Linked DNA regions of Arabidopsis thaliana. The protein of the gene in region 1 purifies or fractionates together with the protein of each later gene. This does not show direct contact. Each region holds a gene or a part of one and is shown on either strand. Other genes may lie near its edges.

Evidence for each region.
Region 2: the proteins of BAM1 (region 1) and CPI1 purify together in Arabidopsis thaliana (affinity purification with western blotting, with the first as the bait; one study listed by BioGRID). This does not show direct contact.

Annotation. Positions count from the first base shown.
Region 1 is NC_003076.8:26,279,799-26,286,063, forward strand, and holds BAM1 (Leucine-rich receptor-like protein kinase family protein), read left to right. Parts: upstream 1-1,912; 5' UTR 1,913-2,027; coding exon 2,028-4,626; intron 4,627-4,734; coding exon 4,735-5,147; 3' UTR 5,148-5,167; exon of another isoform or gene 5,168-5,293; 3' UTR 5,294-5,615; downstream 5,616-6,265. UniProt on the Arabidopsis thaliana protein: Necessary for male gametophyte development, as well as ovule specification and function. Involved in cell-cell communication process required during early anther development, and regulating cell division and differentiation to organize cell layers.
Region 2 is NC_003076.8:20,509,611-20,514,907, reverse strand, and holds CPI1 (cyclopropyl isomerase), read right to left. Parts: upstream 3,242-5,297; 5' UTR 3,053-3,241; coding exon 3,046-3,052; intron 2,961-3,045; coding exon 2,830-2,960; exon of another isoform or gene 2,580-2,829; coding exon 2,496-2,579; intron 2,345-2,495; coding exon 2,303-2,344; intron 2,153-2,302; coding exon 2,042-2,152; intron 1,954-2,041; coding exon 1,762-1,953; intron 1,559-1,761; coding exon 1,461-1,558; intron 1,155-1,460; coding exon 1,082-1,154; coding exon of another isoform or gene 977-1,081; exon of another isoform or gene 944-976; coding exon 827-943; 3' UTR 659-826; downstream 1-658. Other genes in the region: AT5G50370 (Adenylate kinase family protein), read left to right, coding at 4,277-4,397, 4,642-4,907, 4,995-5,162, 5,260-5,297. UniProt on the Arabidopsis thaliana protein: Converts pentacyclic cyclopropyl sterols to tetracyclic sterols.

The DNA.
Region 1 (6,265 bases):
AAAGAAGTGTAAAATCAAATAAACGAATCTCATTAAGCACCTACTTCCCACATCTTTCTTAAAGTTTCTTACATAAAGCTCCCTTCACACGTGCTTACCAAATCAGATTGTCAATAATTCTTGCTCAATAATTTTTCGAAATTTATTTGAATTTATCTAATAAAAATACATTGTTTGAGTATGATATTTTGCTTAAGAAGGTTGATTATTCTCCCTATCAAAGTCTAAAAAGAAGATTACAAAACAATTGTATGGTTAAATTCATATAAATTTGTGACTAGTATTTTAATATTTACATATATACAAATACTTATAGATGAAACGAGAATGCAGAAATGATTATAGATAGATCAGTGACAGTGAACTGTAGCAACCGGCAAAGAAACCTCGTTAGCTGGACACACGATTACGATCATGCCCCCAGTCTCCTCTGTCCAGACGGCTGCATTAATAACAACGAGCTAGAGGGTGTTTTCGTCTTTTCGATACTTATCCCAAAACCGACAATCTCTGGTTTGGACTCGAAGGCTGATTTGGTCAATTCATAGCAACCGAACGAGCAGTCCATTCAAGTCCAAAGAGCTCCTTAGTGGTAAAAGATGTAATTACGTAGATGTTCCATGGTCAAGAATGTATTCAGTCAAAATAAATATTTGACCAAAACTTTCGGTTAATTTCCTACCACCAGCAAAATTATAACTTTTTCTAATAATTATCAATCATTTTCAATCTCTTTTAATTTTCTTTTTCACTTTTTTTTATTAATTAAAGTCAATTCACACTATACAAAAAGAAGGAAGTCTAAATATTTTTTTACTTTCATGTTGCTTTTCTAACTTTTATATTTTGCTCTTCTCAACAGATTTTGCTGGTTTTTGTATTAGAAATATTATTATGTTTCCAGAAATGAATTTTTTATATGTCGTCTGGATTCGTATATATATATTGGAAAGTGAAATTAATTCATTTGATTTTTTTCTTTGATATATCGACCAAATCAAATAAATACGACCCCATTGTGGCATTGTTAATGCAAAAAGGCACAAGTACAAAAAAAACATAATAATTCACTATTTTATTTACAGACACATGGGCCCAATTCATACGGCCCAATTACCATAAACCTCTCTTTTAAAGAGTGGGTTCCACAGTGGTAAACTTTTTGACTATCCATTGGAATGATTGCATCTGGACCGTTCATCTACATTAATTATTGGGTTTTTTCGCTTTAAAGCATCAATTAACTTATTACGTATAGGATTAGATTACCAATAACGATCTTTTTAGCTTTTGTCGTTTTCCGATAAAACCATACGATTAAGAATATGACCTCTTGTATCTTTTGAGGGATTTTAGTTAATCTTTCTACATTTATTTTGTTGGATGCTCATACAATTATCCTGTGTCTCTCAAAATAAAACAAAAATTACTCTATTTATTAGTACATTACACATGATTATTTAGAAAATGTATATTGTGGTCATATGAAATGAGAAATTAAAGGAAATTTGTCAATACTTGAGAACATCACCATTCAAATGTTTCAAGAACAACATGACTCCAAAACAAAATAAATGAACCTTTCCCTAATAATAGTATATTCTCCATCGTACAAAGTTCTAAATAATACAATATTCATTTCGTCAAAGCATATGATGTGTTGGAATCAGAATTATCTGCAAATGTTTGAATTTCAAATGTTAGTATCAGGCTATTTTTACTGTTTTATCAAATATCGTTTCTTCTGCAATCTATCACTTGATTGTTTTATCAAATCAGCACTAGTATTATTGATTTTGTAATTTGTGTTTGTCTACCTCCAATTACTTTTTAGTGTTATGATTAGTAATGTAATAAAATCACAAATCTGACGTGGCACCTATATACAATTCCAAAAACAAGTGGAACGAATATAAAACAAATTCACACCTTCCTCATCTTCTTCTTCGTCTTCACTTACCTTCTCTCTACACTCACACCATCTCACAACCCTAATCTCTCCCACACAAGAGAGATAGAGAGAAACAATGAAACTTTTTCTTCTCCTTCTTTTTCTTCTCCACATTTCTCATACCTTCACCGCAAGCCGACCAATCTCCGAGTTCCGTGCTCTCCTCTCACTCAAAACCTCTCTCACCGGCGCCGGAGATGACAAAAACTCGCCTCTCTCTTCCTGGAAAGTCTCAACAAGCTTCTGTACATGGATTGGTGTCACGTGCGATGTATCTCGCCGTCACGTGACTTCTCTTGATCTCTCCGGTCTCAACCTCTCCGGTACTCTTTCCCCAGATGTTTCTCATTTACGTCTTCTTCAGAATCTATCACTCGCTGAAAATCTAATCTCCGGTCCGATTCCGCCGGAAATCTCGAGCCTTTCCGGTCTTCGTCACTTAAATCTCTCGAACAATGTCTTCAACGGTTCGTTTCCCGATGAGATTTCTTCTGGATTGGTGAATCTCCGAGTTCTTGATGTCTACAACAACAATCTAACCGGAGATTTACCGGTTTCCGTCACCAATCTGACTCAGCTCCGGCACCTTCACCTCGGTGGTAACTACTTCGCTGGAAAGATCCCGCCTTCGTACGGAAGCTGGCCAGTTATTGAGTATCTAGCGGTTTCCGGCAACGAGCTTGTCGGGAAAATCCCTCCAGAGATCGGAAACCTAACGACTCTCCGGGAGCTTTACATCGGCTACTACAACGCTTTCGAAGACGGTCTTCCTCCAGAGATCGGAAATCTATCGGAGCTAGTCAGATTCGACGGAGCTAATTGCGGATTAACCGGTGAGATTCCGCCGGAGATTGGGAAGCTTCAGAAACTCGATACGCTTTTCTTGCAAGTGAATGTCTTCTCCGGTCCATTAACTTGGGAGCTAGGAACGCTATCGAGTTTAAAATCAATGGATTTGTCTAACAACATGTTCACCGGAGAGATTCCAGCGAGTTTCGCAGAGTTGAAGAATCTCACGCTTTTGAATCTCTTCCGTAACAAACTTCACGGCGAGATACCGGAGTTCATCGGAGATTTGCCGGAGCTTGAAGTGTTACAGCTTTGGGAGAACAATTTCACCGGAAGCATCCCGCAGAAATTAGGAGAAAACGGTAAACTAAATCTCGTCGATCTCTCTTCCAATAAGCTGACCGGAACTTTACCGCCGAACATGTGCTCCGGTAACAAGTTAGAAACTTTAATCACTCTTGGAAACTTTCTCTTTGGTTCAATCCCTGATTCTCTTGGTAAATGTGAGTCTTTGACCCGGATCCGAATGGGTGAGAATTTCCTGAACGGGTCAATCCCAAAAGGACTATTCGGATTACCCAAATTAACTCAAGTGGAGCTCCAAGATAATTATCTCTCCGGAGAGTTACCAGTCGCCGGAGGTGTCTCTGTTAATCTTGGTCAGATCAGTTTATCAAACAACCAGCTCTCAGGTCCATTACCTCCGGCGATCGGGAACTTCACCGGCGTTCAGAAACTTCTTCTTGATGGAAACAAGTTCCAAGGTCCTATTCCTTCAGAGGTAGGGAAGCTTCAGCAGCTCTCGAAGATTGATTTCAGCCACAACTTGTTCTCCGGTCGAATCGCGCCGGAGATTAGTCGTTGCAAGCTCTTAACGTTTGTTGATCTGAGCAGAAACGAGCTCTCCGGTGAAATCCCAAATGAGATCACTGCTATGAAGATATTGAATTACTTGAACCTGTCGAGAAACCATCTGGTTGGATCAATCCCTGGTTCAATCTCGTCAATGCAGAGCTTAACATCTCTTGATTTCTCTTACAACAACCTCTCCGGTTTAGTTCCGGGAACAGGACAATTCAGTTACTTCAACTACACATCGTTCTTGGGTAATCCTGATCTCTGTGGTCCTTATCTTGGTCCTTGTAAAGACGGTGTTGCTAAAGGAGGTCACCAGAGTCATAGTAAAGGACCTTTATCAGCTTCTATGAAGTTATTGCTTGTTCTTGGACTACTTGTTTGTTCGATTGCGTTCGCGGTAGTAGCCATAATCAAAGCTAGATCATTGAAAAAGGCGAGTGAGTCACGGGCTTGGAGGTTAACAGCTTTCCAGAGACTAGACTTCACGTGTGACGATGTCTTGGATTCTCTCAAAGAAGACAACATTATAGGCAAAGGAGGAGCTGGTATTGTCTATAAAGGCGTAATGCCTAATGGTGATCTAGTCGCGGTTAAAAGACTCGCTGCAATGTCTCGTGGATCTTCCCATGATCACGGCTTCAACGCAGAGATTCAAACCTTAGGAAGGATAAGACACAGACACATAGTGAGGCTTCTCGGATTTTGCTCAAACCACGAGACGAATCTACTTGTCTATGAGTACATGCCTAATGGTAGTCTCGGTGAGGTGCTTCACGGTAAGAAAGGAGGACACTTGCATTGGGACACACGTTACAAGATTGCTCTTGAAGCTGCTAAAGGACTCTGTTACCTTCATCACGATTGTTCTCCATTGATCGTTCACAGAGATGTCAAATCAAACAACATCCTCCTTGATTCAAACTTTGAAGCTCATGTTGCTGACTTTGGTCTCGCTAAATTCCTTCAAGATTCCGGTACTTCTGAATGTATGTCTGCAATCGCTGGCTCTTACGGCTACATAGCTCCAGGTACTAAAATCTTCAAAAAAAGTTTCTAACTTTACAATCTCTTGCTCTGTTTTTCTCTTTAAAGTTTCTAACTTTACTATCTTTTGCTCTGTTTTGGTGTTTGTGTAGAGTATGCGTATACGTTGAAGGTAGATGAGAAGAGCGATGTGTATAGTTTCGGTGTGGTTCTTTTGGAACTCGTCACCGGAAGAAAACCTGTCGGAGAATTTGGAGACGGTGTCGATATAGTGCAATGGGTTCGTAAAATGACTGATTCGAACAAGGATTCGGTTCTGAAAGTATTGGATCCGAGACTTTCTTCGATTCCGATTCATGAAGTGACGCACGTCTTCTATGTAGCGATGCTCTGTGTAGAAGAACAAGCTGTTGAGAGGCCGACTATGAGAGAAGTTGTTCAGATTCTCACTGAGATCCCGAAGTTGCCACCGTCGAAGGATCAGCCGATGACGGAATCAGCGCCGGAGAGTGAGCTTTCGCCGAAGTCTGGTGTTCAAAGTCCGCCGGATCTACTCAATCTATGAGAGTTTTCTGATTCACGGCGGTTAATTTAGGGTACCGGTATAAGGGGTAAATTTGTCTTTTCATAAATGTTATTAGCGATGAGATTTGGTTGTTAATTTACTTTAATCCCTCTTAGTACGGTTTGTGCTTTGGTCCGGTTTAGTAGGTTTTTTTTTGAAAGAAGGTTGTTTAAACTCTTTTTAAGTGTGTTTCATTTTCCTTTTTTATGTTTTTAATCGGTATTCGGCTTTATTTAGTTTGTAATTTGTGTTAATGAAAATGTACAGTTGGTTTTTTTTTGAAGGAATTTCAAAATATCTTGAAAAGAGTGAAATGTGTAATGTGAACACTCTTGCATGTCTTGCTATAGAGTCACGCATCTGCAACTGATATGAACGATCACCTTCTTTATTGTTTTTAGGTATTTGACTTTGTTACAAAGATTCAAATGTAGCTACTAACACCTGCAATAACCTGAAAGAAATTTCATCAAACAGAAATTATATTTGATCTCCATCAACAAGATGTTTGAGAGCGGTTAAAGTTGTGGTTGCGTTTGCGTTTGGTGAAAATGTTAACTTGGAAGAATAATTAAAGAGGAAGCATGTGAGAGGTCAAAGGTATAAATGTGGTGGGGAGATAATGATTGGTTTTGAGTTAATATGAGAAGCCTATAAGGTGATATTTCTCCCACATGCAAAATATATACCAAAGTCTTTAAGTCTTTAATGATTTTGATGAGATCTCTTCTCTATTCCCTGCTCATGAAGCAATTTCTACTCTATGTAAAGCATTTATGATTTCATCGATCACTCATAAATATAAGCCACACCCAACTTACATTAATATGGTTTTCATTTGGCTGTACGTAGTTTCCAATGATGATTGTAGATCTAAGTCTAGGTTTTAATGAGAAAATTGGACCAAACAAACAAAATTGTAGCTATCTTCGTGTTTGTTCACATTTTGGAGATAACAGCCTAACTAGATCATGGGCTAAGTGTTAGCTTTGATAGGGATTCTCACGTAACTCTATGATAACATATTGCACTAAAATGTGATTTAGTTCACTCACTAAGTTAGTGACATTTCCAAAAAGTGTCATCCACTTAGCAAATTCCGTTGCTATGTTTATGAT
Region 2 (5,297 bases), 5.8 Mb from region 1:
GAAATATTTTTGGGTTGTTTCATTTTCTGATCTTGTGGCAGTAATGTTTTGTTATTCTTTCCAGATTTTATTCAAGAAACTACAATAAACCTGAGTTAGTATCAGTATGATTCTGATTCAGTGTTTTATGTTTTTTATATTTAAAAGTTGAAGGATGCTCCTATAATAGAATTGTTGTTGTATCTTGAAACAGGGTTATCTTATGTGAATGAGACTTAGATCTTATATTAAATCATTTTTAAACTCTTACACTCCAAAGACTCATTACAAACCACATTAAAACTATGACATATATGAACAAGTAAACTCTTACGGTTAGTAGTCGTATCTCCTTAATATTCTCAGATGCAAAGATTACAAAAACGGAGAGCAGTCTTGTTCTATCTCCCACTACTAACCGGTCTACGGACAAAGAACTGAGAACGTGTACTTGTTCAAGGAATCATGGATGGTCACAGGACCAGGTAATGTTGATCTTGGACCAGAGATTAGTGTTCTGATTGTGGTTGCAGTTATGCACTGCAACAGTCGTCCCATATAAGTTAGTGACTACAACAATGGAACAAATGCTACGGGGGAGGTTGCAGAAGTAAAGTAAGCCCTTAGCTACTTCATGTGATGAGACTTTACCATTTAATATCAAGTTTTGGTTCTTTCAATGGTGTTATGGTCTTTCTTGTTTTAATGAACTTAAGAGGACGAACCAATATATCGAGTCCACAACAAAAAACGAAGTTCCATTCTGTTCTATAAAGGATAACTTGAAAGGTTACATTGGGAAAGTTCATCAAGAGAAACTGAAAACCAAAAACAACTAACAAACAAATCAGCAGTTGGAGAAGAAAAGCCTTAGAAACATGCCCTGCATTAACTGCTTCCCAATTCCGTAAAGTGTTAATGGAAATTCCTTTGCAGGTTTCTCTCTCAGTCCCATGTCAATTCCCTGAATTGGTGGAAGTAACCGATCTTTCAATCTTCAATTGGAGAACCATGGTAATCCAGACTGAAGGCAGTTTTGTCCCTCCGGTAAGGGAACTATAGGTCCCAAGAAGAGACGCCATAGATCAAGAATGATTGTTACCAACATAGCAGCACCCAAAGCATCAACAGCCACTCGAGATAAATCCCATTCATCAGTTGATTTCTCATCCATCCTGCAAACAATGAATAAAACATATGAAAACAGATAGACAACAACTCGAGGTAATCAAATAGCAATAAGAAGGTGAGACGGAAGCATATCACAGAGACTGTTCAAAGAACTCCTCAAGACACTTGAGAAAGACCTGGTTCTCCATTTAAGTCTTTAATTCCTATATTTTAAGACTCTCAAGAAAATTCAATCAATTAATCCGGTGTATCTAACAACTATCACTTGTCTCAGTTTTGATATGCAACAGTCATGAAGGTGAAAAGATTCACTGCTTCTATGAGATGATAGAAAACTATGCTTTCTTTACCTGAAGAACATTGGGAAGCTCACAATGAAGTAAATGGCATAGAAAAGACATCCAACTCTGTACATGGCACTTCGGTCCACAAACTCATAGTAAGGAAACTGCACAAGTTTGAAAACAAAAACAGAACATATGAGCGGTTATTGTCAAGTGACTAGTTTCTAAACAAGATTCTAGAATGATTAAGTAGATAAACGTAGTCTTTAAGCAGACTATAAGAGGAATTTGTGATATATGATAAAACACCAAGTAGAGAGCTCTTTTTATAGGAAATTATCAAAGAAATGTAGACATCACAACGTACATTTGCGATAGCAATAGTCTCCAAGTATGCAATGAAATAAGAAAGCGCAAGTATCCATGCAGCCTCAAAACACCATTTCAGAGAATCTGGTAAATCAGCAGTGGAATGGCGTAGCCTCCGAAGAGTAATGTTCGATGCAACGTGGTAAAAGAGGAAGCAAACATGTGTTAGGAAGAATGTTGTGTGAGGCACCTGTTCAACACAAAACCCCTGCCATAAGCTCATGGAAACAAGAAAACTACTCAATAGAACAAATCTGCCGAGATAATGCTGTGCTTACATTATTCATTTTCCATGATGGAAAAGTATAGGACGCTCCAAGAACTTTAAAGAAATAGTGAGTCCAAAAGTAGTTTCCGACATAGCTGAAAACAATTATCCAGAGATTTGCCTGTGGTAAAAACATGTTCCAATCAGTACAACTATGGATGAGATCTTGAGAACTCTCACCAGTACTCAAGGAAGTTAAAACAAGTTCTAAAAATAGTTTGAAACTAGAACTGGCAAGCCAAAATGTCATGCACATAGAAAAAAAGCTTGCCTTAACCCAATAGCGGTCCTTCCAACATAAACTTCTGTCGGCCTGAAAGAATAATGCATATATTCTGAGTCCATATGGTAAGGAAAACAATAGAGATTTGCATTCAATTGGAAGCAAGTAGCTAGTAGACAAACAAGTATAGCACCACGAACACGTTAGCTCACAGTGAAAGCAAAAGTTGTCAAAAAGTAACCTTTCCAACGAGTAACATGGGTATAACGAAAGCAGGAACAGCTGAAACCAAAGCTAGAAGCAGATACTCCAACTCCGTGAATGTCTGCTAGTTTGCAAAGTAACTAACACTTATTAGTACTTCTTCAATACCACTTAAAAGACAACTTCATACAACAGTAAAATTTTCAGATCTCTAAAACACTGACATGGTAAACAATGAGACATCATTTCATAAACTTTGTTGATCTAATTTAGCAGATAAAAAAAAGTGAATAGCTACTTCAACTCTGTCTCATCGTCTCCTAAATACATCAGACACTTAAAAACAATGCTCATTTGATGATCGCATAGACCTCGTAAAGCTTGTAAGGAACAACGATGCCTAAACAGAGAGTGAGCCAAAAAGGAGTGTAGAAGAGGAAGAAGAGCTCTCCCCATCTCTTGCTCGGATTCGGTGCCAGCCACAAGCTCGGTGAAGAAGATCCTATCAAATGTAAATCAAAAAAATCAGGGAATGGGGACGAGAGATTCGAATCAGAAGAAGAAGAAGAGATCGGCGATAGTTTTACCTGACATAATCGCTCCGCCGGAGAATCTTAGAAACGTTGACTTGAGTAGTGTGAGTGAGTGAGCCGAGATTTTGTGTACGGGCGACCAAATAGATCCCAATCAAGCTGACGTGGCAGATGTACTCAGTGATGATGATTTTGACGAAAGCTAGATCCGCTCGCTCATCGTTCCTATTATTTTACCGTTTATTATGACATCACCTCTTTTTTCTACTTCTTTGTTGCTAAATTGTTATATTTGTTGTTCCCTTTTCCCAACATAAGAAGTGGGCCTATGTTAATTTAATTCTAAAATAATATGTAATCTAATTTTATTTTTTATTGTTAAATTTGATTTTAAAAAAATGTATATAGCAAATTGAAACTTTTGAGGTAAAGAGTTTATTTATATTTTTAGAATTTTCAAAAAGCAGATGTATGTGATCGTAAAAACGTTTACAATATATGTAAAGTTGGAAAAAAAAAAGCTTATATTATGTACTATTTTGAATTTTATAGTATTATTTTGCATTTTTTGGAAAACTCTTTTATTAATGTTAAGAATTTAGAAAAATACAAAAACTTATTAATAAATAAATATACAAAAATTATCAAGAAAGAAACTAATGATGTAGTATTCATTCATATCTTTAATAACCAAACATTGATGGAGTTTGGCTTTCAAAAAAAAAAAAGAAAAATGTGGGTTTTCAAGAGTTTAATTGTCTTATTGACGAAAAGTGAATGTGGTCTAGTGGTATACTGATATTCATAAGTCTACCATAAACTAGCAAAATCTTCAACCTCAGTACTTAATATCAAATTAAGTTTCTTAACACTAGTGTTAATTGGACAAATGACCGGTCCATCGTGCCTTAAAACCGAAAAAATGTGTTAGACTCTACTTATTCTATGTTTTCTAGTCCGCTTTTTTTGGTTCACTTGACCTAAAACATAATGGTTTGTTGGAAGTATTATATGATATTTGATTTTATGTAATTATGAAAAATGTGCGATATTAGATGTGTAAGAAGAAAGACTCGTTTTCAGAGTTGGGTGTGTCACCAACCCCAGGCAGGTTGTTGTTGTTCGAAGGGCAGGCCTTTGTAGTTGTTGGCACAGTTAAGGGTAAAATCGTAAAACGGTGAAAGAAAACATTGGAAGCATCGAATCCAATACACGCACTTCAAAAAGAGAACACAACTCCACCGGACCAAATCTAATTCTCTTGTAAGAGACGACGACGACGAACATGGCAACGAGCAGTGCGGCTTCTGTTGATATGGAAGATATTCAGACTGTTGATCTCATGTCTGAGCTTCTTCGCCGTATGAAATGTGCCTCTAAACCTGACAAACGTCTCGTTTTCATCGGTACAATCATCTCTTTCGTTACCTCTGAATCTTTCACTCAATCGGTACTTTAGGTTTGATCTCTGTGAAAATTGTGTAGCGAAAGTTCCGATTTTTATCTGTTTTAGTGTGTAAAAATTGCATTTTGCTGTTATCGTTAATGCTTTATCTGATGATCATAGCGAAGGGATTGTGAATTTGTGTTTTTTGGTTCAATAGAAAGGAAGAATTGAGTTTTGGTTCATGTATGATTTGGAATTTGCAGGTCCACCTGGTTCAGGGAAAGGTACACAGTCTCCGGTCATAAAGGATGAGTTTTGTTTGTGTCATTTGTCTACTGGTGACATGCTTAGAGCTGCTGTTGCTGCTAAGACTCCTCTTGGTGTGAAGGCAAAGGAAGCAATGGATAAGGGAGAGCTTGTTTCTGATGACTTGGTTGTTGGTATCATGGATGAAGCAATGAACAGACCCAAATGTCAGAAAGGTTTCATTCTTGATGGGTTCCCGCGGACTGTGACTCAAGCAGAGAAGGTTTCTGGTTCTTTTCTGTGGTTAGTTGTTTGTGTATCTGCTCGCTCTTGTAAATGTTCTGACTTTTTTTGTTTATAAATCTTGTAGCTTGATGAGATGCTTAATAGAAGGGGAGCTCAGATAGATAAGGTGCTTAATTTTGCGATCGATGATTCGGTTCTCGAAGAAAGAATTACTGGAAGGTGGATTCACCCTTCAAGTGGAAGAAGCTATCATACTAAATTCGCACCTCCTAAAGTTCCAGGAGTCGATGATGTAAGAAAAACCATCAAATTCTGATTCATCATTTTGACTTAGTAAATCGAGTTCTCTCTTGTGATTTGATCTCTGTATCAACTTCGTTGTTTGTTAGCTGACTGGAGAGCCATTGATTCAACGTAAAGATGACAA